2 linked regions of the Rattus norvegicus genome follow. The main gene of each other region encodes a partner of the protein of the gene in region 2 in a complex. Links are inferred from orthologs where the notes say so. Each region holds a gene or a part of one and is shown on either strand. Other genes may lie near its edges.

What was found. The genes of interacting proteins can lie anywhere in the genome.
Region 1: Rrn3 (region 2) and Polr2k share a complex: the UniProt entries of both Homo sapiens proteins name them as parts of the pol I pre-initiation complex. The link is inferred for Rattus norvegicus from reciprocal best matches to the Homo sapiens genes RRN3 and POLR2K.

Annotation. Positions count from the first base shown.
Region 1 is NC_086025.1:69,240,375-69,244,062, reverse strand, and holds the start of Polr2k (DNA-directed RNA polymerases I, II, and III subunit RPABC4), read right to left. Parts: upstream 2,831-3,688; 5' UTR 2,748-2,830; intron 2,044-2,747; 5' UTR 2,035-2,043; coding exon 1,974-2,034; intron 1,637-1,973; coding exon 1,544-1,636; intron 1-1,543. UniProt on the Homo sapiens protein: DNA-dependent RNA polymerase catalyzes the transcription of DNA into RNA using the four ribonucleoside triphosphates as substrates.
Region 2 is NC_086028.1:2,669,966-2,673,714, forward strand, and holds the start of Rrn3 (RNA polymerase I-specific transcription initiation factor RRN3), read right to left. Parts: upstream 2,331-3,749; 5' UTR 2,325-2,330; coding exon 2,242-2,324; intron 919-2,241; coding exon 813-918; intron 1-812. UniProt on the Homo sapiens protein: Required for efficient transcription initiation by RNA polymerase I (Pol I). Required for the formation of the competent pre-initiation complex (PIC).

The DNA.
Region 1 (3,688 bases), on a different chromosome or scaffold from region 2:
AAAACTCACTGAAACAATTGATGACTTTTAAGAGTTTGTGTCCGTTACCATGAAACAATTTGTAGGCCTCACTATTTTCCACTGTTATTAATCTCTTCTTCCGTACTTTATATTGTTCATAAACTAATAACCAACAATGACTATTACTAAAAACAAAGATTTCCTGAAAAGTAAAAAAGACTTATCAACTAGTTTTTATATTACTGAAAGCCCATAATGAATGGTACATGAAAATGCTAATCACATTTACTTTATATAAAAACCTCTGCCAGGCCTTGGGAGTACATGTCTTTAATCCCGGATTTGGGGGGTAGAGGTGGTGGGCGGGGATAGGTGGATCTCTGAGTTTGAGGCCTGTCTTAGTCAGGGTTTCTGTTCCTGCACAAACATCATGACACAAAGCAGGTTGGGGAGGAAAGAGTTTATCCAGCTTACACAGTCACATTGCTGTTTCATCACCAAAGGAAGTCAGGACTGGAACTCGAGCAGGTCAGGAAGCAGGAGCTGATGCAGAGGCCATGGAGGGATGTTACTTACTGGCTTGCCTCCCGTGGCTTGCTCAGCTGGTTTTCTTATAGAACCCCAGGACCACCAGCCCAGGGATGGCACTACCCACAATGGGCTTGGTCCTCCCTCCTTGATCACTAGTTGAGAAGATGCCTTACAGCTGGGTCTCCCGAAGGCATTTCCACAACTGAGGCTCCTTTTCTGTGATAACTCCAGCCTGTGTCAAGTTGGCCTTCAAAACTAGCCAGTATAAGGCCACAGAGGTTTAGGAAGGCCAGTGATAACCTTAATAAATGAATTAAAAATGTATTTACTGGGTTTTAAAATTTGTTTTATTCAGGTTTATTTTATGCACAAGTGCTTTTGCCTGTATGCATGTATGTACCATTTGGGTCCCGCGCACTGGTAGGTCAGAGGTCGGCCTATCCGACCACCTGTGATTGTGAGCAATCATGTTGGTTCTAAGGCCCTCTGAAAAAGCAGCAATGCTCCTGCCTGCAGATCCAGCTCTCAGGCCCCTAGTTGGTCCTTTGAGACTGGGTCTCACTAAGTAGCTTTAGCTGGCCTGGAATCCTAAGTGTAGACCAGACTGGCCTGGAATTCACAAGGAGCTGCCTGTCTCTACCCCACAAGTTTTGGGAAAAATAAATCCTATTAAAATAATTAATCTGGGTATACCTCCTGTGGAGGCTCCACTCTTTCAGTTCTCAATAAGTCCACATGCACTCTGCTTAAAAAATAATCCAAAAGTTATTACTACTTTGATCAGATCTTAGTCTTTTTTTTTTTAAAGATTTATTTATTTCATGTATGTGAGTACACTGTCACTGTCTTCAGACACACCAGAAGGAATCAAATCCCATTACTAGGTGGTTGAGCCACCATGTGGTTGCTGGGACTTGAACTCAGGACCTCTGTAAGAGTGGTCAGTGCTCTTAACCACTGAGCCATCTCTCCAGCCCCAGATCTTAGTCTTTATCAACCCAAGTATTAGTTACTTCCTCTTCACATTTAAAAAGTATACTTAAAAGGATACATCTCTTAGTCCTTTTCTTGTACATTATTCTGTATCCACATTCTCTGCATCTGATTGGATCCCTGGATTTTATTTCATTTTCGGTGTGACACTCTGGGAAAGAAAGCACATTTATTCAAAGCCTGAAAGAGAAACACTCCAGGGAAGCAAACAGTAACAACATATTAAAAACAGGAGGAAACCAGGGCACCAAAACATCCAAGTACATTCTTATTACTGAACAGACCAAGGAGAAAGAAGAGCTGTAGGCAGTACACCTTTTCCAGATAAAAGGAAGAAATCTTAATAAGGTAGAGGGATTTTAAAATTAACAATCGCTAAAGTGCTCCACGTTATAATTTTAAAGATTTGTACTCATGTATGGAAGGATTCTTTTTAATGGGAGGGGGGGGCGTTCCTAAGTAAAGCATTATTTAAATGTTAATCTTACCTCCACAAATATATATCATTGGCTGCTGCTTTGGTGGTTGAACATCTTTCTGGGTGTCCATTGTTCGTGCCTGAAATGAGAGCCAAAGACTGAGTAACAGGGCCTTCGCACAAAACATGCCCCATTTGATTTATCTTTTTCTCAGAAGCTATACGAGGTTCTGATTTTCCGACCAAAGAGGAAAACCTCAGTAGAATGTTTGCCTAGTGTGCAGAAGCCCAAGAATCAATACCCAATATTACGGATGGGGAAATTAAAAAAAAAAAAAAAGTAATTATCTACTTCCCCTAAACAGTGATGTGGGCTGGGTCTGAAGGATACAGCACATTTTCAACAATAGTAAATACATTATGAATGTTTATTACTCTTCAGGATCCTAGAGGGTATTACACACGAAGAAACGGAGGCTAAGGACATGTTGGTTTGTCCAGTATCACTCCGCAAAGGAATTCCGATTTGAGCTGGGAGCAGTAGCTCCGTCAAAGCTTGTCTCAACATTAACTCCACCGGGGATCTTTATTTTCGCATTTGGTTCTTTAAGAAGGCTTTGAGAGTCTTCACTTTGTAATTCAGGTTAGCCGAGAACTCACTTTGTAGCCTTAGATTGAAAGTCAAGGTGCTTGTTGATGGCAGAATTCTCCTACCTCTGCTTCCCAAGCGCTCAGATGGCAGGCGTGTGCTACCGCTCTCGGTCGTCCAGGGATATTTTAAAGCCAGGTGTCTCTCCTAGTTTTGCCTCCAATTTACCTCCCAAATCACCCGCCGATCCCTTACCTCCGCAGCTCCGGAAAGCGTCCCTCCTCTGTGCACGCAAACGCTTTCTCCGGCTCTTAGAAGCAAGAGACACTACCGGCGCTGCTTCGCCAACTTCCGGCGCTGACTTATGACGCAAAAGCCCTGTCCCTTTCTGCCTGGCAGTACCGAAGAACTAGGGCGCTTGTTGGGGACTGGTTTATAGTGTTTCTCTCCTTAATTCCTGTAGGATTTTGTTTTGATTTGCCCCTCTCTCCAGGGTAGCAAAACATTCCCACAGCTCGGCGTTCGAGAGTCTGTGCTTGTGTAACGGCAGATAGAGCAGGAAGCCAAAACAGGTGCTGCTGGAATCTTAACCCAGCCATTGCTTGGGCGAACACCAGCAGGCCACCCTACCAACACTTCACTTCCCAATATCACGGTTTTCAAATTGTTCAATACCCATGCAGGTTTTTGTTTGTTTGTTGTTTTCAAATTCCAGTTTTCTTAGTTTCTTGTCACCTCTCTTCTATTTTATGTTGGGGAATGGAATGATAGGGGAAGCCCGAGGCTTGATAGTCTATGTAGCCCAGGCTGAGCTTGCTCTTAAACCGGCGCAGTTCTCTACCTTCGCCGCCTCAATGCTGAAATTAATTGCGCAAATCACAACGCCTGCCCATCTTCCTTTTTGAAGCCAAGGTTTTCACAACTAAGGTTTTCACAAGGACAACTCCATCAATTACTTCCACTAGTTGGTGGCTTTAGCTTTTCTCGTAGTATTCTCCCTCTTGTGTTTGATCAATTCAATAGAGTACAGGTGGTATGTGTTCTCACAGATCAAACTTTTAACTCAGTAAAAATCTGTTGGGTTCAGGACGTTTACACTCAATTATTTCACACCATTTATTTTAAAAATAGAGTGGACAAACTAATAGAAGAAAAACTAGGGAAGCATCTGGAACACATGGGCACTGGAAAAAATT
Region 2 (3,749 bases):
TTAAGGCAAGAAGACTGGAGTTAGACATCAGACAGGGCTACACAAACGAACAACAGTTACTCTAACTTCTTTAATTTTAGCACTTGCTAGTTTTCAAGATATATACGGCATTTTAAGTCTTAAACCTCACCACACTTGTTTTGGTTACCTTTAAGCTTACAGAATCATGCACATCACTAAATATTCTATTTCACTAAATATTCACTAAATATTTCCCTCCATTCCATCTTTTTAGTCTAGCAGTTCTCAACCTGTGGATGTCTACCCTTTTGGGGACTGAACCCCTTTCACTGGTGTCGCCTAAGACCATCAGACAGCACAGATACTTACATTATAAGTCATAACCATAGCAAAATTACAGTTATGAAGTAGCAAAGAAAATAATTCTATGGTTGGGGGTCACCGCAACATGAGAAACTGTATTAAAAGGGTCAAAGCATTAGGAAAGTTGAGAACCTCTGTTTTAGACAGAGGCTAGTCTCAAACTCAGGGATTCACCTGCTGCCTTCAAATGCTAGGATTAAAGGCACAAGCCACCAAGCCCGGAGTGAAATTTATCTTTAGCCTAAGGACGGAGCTCAACTAGAACTGTTTTCCTGGTGTGGACAAGGTTCTAGTTCCAGTGCCCACCACTGAGAAACGTAAATCATAAATGCACACATAAACACTAAAGTTCACCTTGTTCTGTTACTGCTGTGTTTGTTTGCTTTGGGGGTGTACTCAGGAGGAATGCAAAGTCTTGATAGTTTGCTCTTCAGTATAGCACCCATTAAACCAAACCCTATCAAGGTAAAGCCCAGATCTCCTCATACCTTTTTGTACTTCAGTAAGACGTCTGTCACAGTTCCACCAAACCGAACAGTTTTTCTTGGGGGAGAACTGAAGAAATCACTCTCTAATGCAAGCATGTTTGAAAGCCTGAAGAACCAGGAATACCAGTTGTTAAATTCATGACAGAGAATGACAACAGTAAGCATTACTAAACCAACATCATTTTGTGTGATGAGGTTTAAGTTTCTTAAATGATATATATACCTGCTTCCAACCTTCTCCCCCACGAATCCACTCTTCACTCACTAAAACTGTCTTCTTGCAGCACTTACAATAAGAATTCAAACTCAAACTCCTAATACTTAGAAAGCAACATTTGGGAAGATGAGGCAGACCTAGGCTACAGAGTGAGATCTCAAATTTTATTTTATTTTTTTTAAGAGTAAGGGAAGGGAAAAAATAGAATTAAAAAAAAAAAACCTCTGTATTCCTATATTAACCCTGTAAGATCCTGTTTAACCATCCACCTTTCCTAACTCTGATGTCATGATACAATCGTTTGTTAAAAGTATGATGTCCTTTTTATTCCTCAAACTTGTCAAGCTGGTTCCCATTCCACTTGCTACTCACTGTTAGAAACACCCTTCATACACACACACACACACACACACACACACACACACACACACACACAAGGCTGGAGCTCAAATGTCAGAGGCCTTTTTCACCAGAACCTCTCACACTCACCCTTTATTTATCCTGCTGTAAAGTTGTAGTTCTTCACAGCATTTACTGAAACTATACCTGAAACTATCTTATCCGTTTATTGCCCACCCCCACTTCCCCACCTCCAGTTCTGTTGAGTATGAGAACATTAGTCTCTGGATAAGCTAATGTCCCCAGTGTCTTCTTAACACAGCATGTACATACTTCATAAACAACTATTATTATTCTGTACAAGGTTTACTTTGTTTAGATTAGCTTCCAAATGTTTTATAGGAATAGGCATTTTTAAATGTTAGGCAAAAACAAAAAACCAAAAACCAAAAAAACCAAAAAACCGATTGCTTAGATAATATATGGTAATATATGGTTCCACTATGCTACTGCTCGCTTCTGCAGAAACAAATTTCAAACAAAATTTTGGCGATTCAATAGGTCTCCAGTGACAGCTTTCCCCTGGATATACAAAACCCTGGAAATGCCGTCCACGTCTTAGCCAAGAGAGGGAAGAAAAAAGGAGCGGACGATTTGCCTATAGTCCCAAAAGGGTGCCCCCAAGAGTGAGTGGAAGACAATGGAACAGACAAGACTCGCTAACGCAGCTTCGCCCGGGCAGAGAGGACCAGTGGCTCCTGCGCACTTGGGCCAAGCCCGCACGCCAGGACCCCTCCGAGCCCTAGTCACACCCCGAGCGCTCTCAGCCGGCTCGAGCCCCGCACACGCAGGCGGAGGTCGTCCAGATCTTACCCAGTCCGCGACGCACTCAGCGTGGCAGAGCCCGTAGCCGCCACGTCGCTCGACAAGCGCGTGTGGAGCAGCGGGGCCGCCATTCGGCCTAGGCAGAGAGATCGCTGGGCCTTGCGCCGGAAGCCACGGCCTGCCCGCCCCGGAAGTCGCGCTGGGGGAGCCGAATGCGGCCCATGTGAGCGAGCGGAACGATCGCAGCTAGAAGGCAAGTAGACTTTCGCCTGGCCCTAAGCTGTCTGAAGCTTCCCTAAGAACAGGCGGGCACAGCTAGGCGGGGCCAACAGTGGCCGGGTTTCTCAGAACCGCCTTCAGAAAGAAGCTTGCCATAGTGGTGTGCGCATGTAACCCTGGTACTGGAAGTGGAGGCAGCCAATGGGTAAAATATTAGGGCCTGAGTTACCCAGGTAAAAAGCACAGTTTGATGTTAGTAATGCTGGCACTTGGTGGCTGGATAAATGGCTCAGTGAGTGGTTAAGGGCACCGACTGCTCTTCCAGAGGTCCTGAGTTCAAACCCCGGCAACTACATGGTGACTCACAACCATCTGTAATGAGATCTGATGCCCTCTTCTGGTGTGTCTGAAGACAGCTATAGTGTACTGATATAATAATAATAATAATAATAATAATAATAATAATAATAATAATAATAATAATAATAGTAATAGTAATGCCAGCACTGGAGAGGTAGAGATAAAAGGATCTCTGGGACTCGCTGACCGGCCAACCTTGCCTTTCTGGCAAACACACTGTGCATTGACCTCTGTGAACATTCAAGAACCCACGTGTACATATTTGTTTAAATCAAAGAAATTGTCTTCACGGTGGAGAGATTTGACTGAACAAAATACAAGATCTGTACATTATTTTAGACGCATATTTTAGACCTTACTCTGTGCGAAACACGTATTACACAGTTCTGAGGCAGACCTAGGCTACATGGAGACTGTGGTGAAAAACAGAGGAGAGAGTTAGACGGATATTACCACGGCCAAGGAAACCCAGGCTGGGGGCTGGGCATGGTGGTACACACCTTAGCTGGGCATGGTGGTACACACCACCTTTAATCTCAGCAGAGGAGGGACAGGAAGGCAGATCTCTGAATCTGAGGCTAGTTTAGACTTCTAGGACAGCCAGGGCAATTAAAAAAAAAAGAGCTTGTCTCCAAAACAACAAAAGAGGATCCTGGTTGGATTCCCAGCATTTACATGATGGTTCACAATTGTCTCTGGCTGCAGTCCCCAGTCCCAGGGGTTCTTTTACCTCTGTGAGCACAGCAGGGACACACAGAGATATATACAAAACACCCAAACACATCAAATAAATCTTTAGGCAGTTTTAGAGAGTTTGCTATCCAGCATACTTTTCTTAGGATGTTGAGGATAGATTCCAGAACATTGTTCACACTAGGTGAATGCTCTACTATTGTGCTCCACATGTAAATTTGTAAAAGAAAAACCAGTGTCAACCAGAAGAGAAGCAAGGAAAGCTTTGTTTTTTGTTGTTGTTA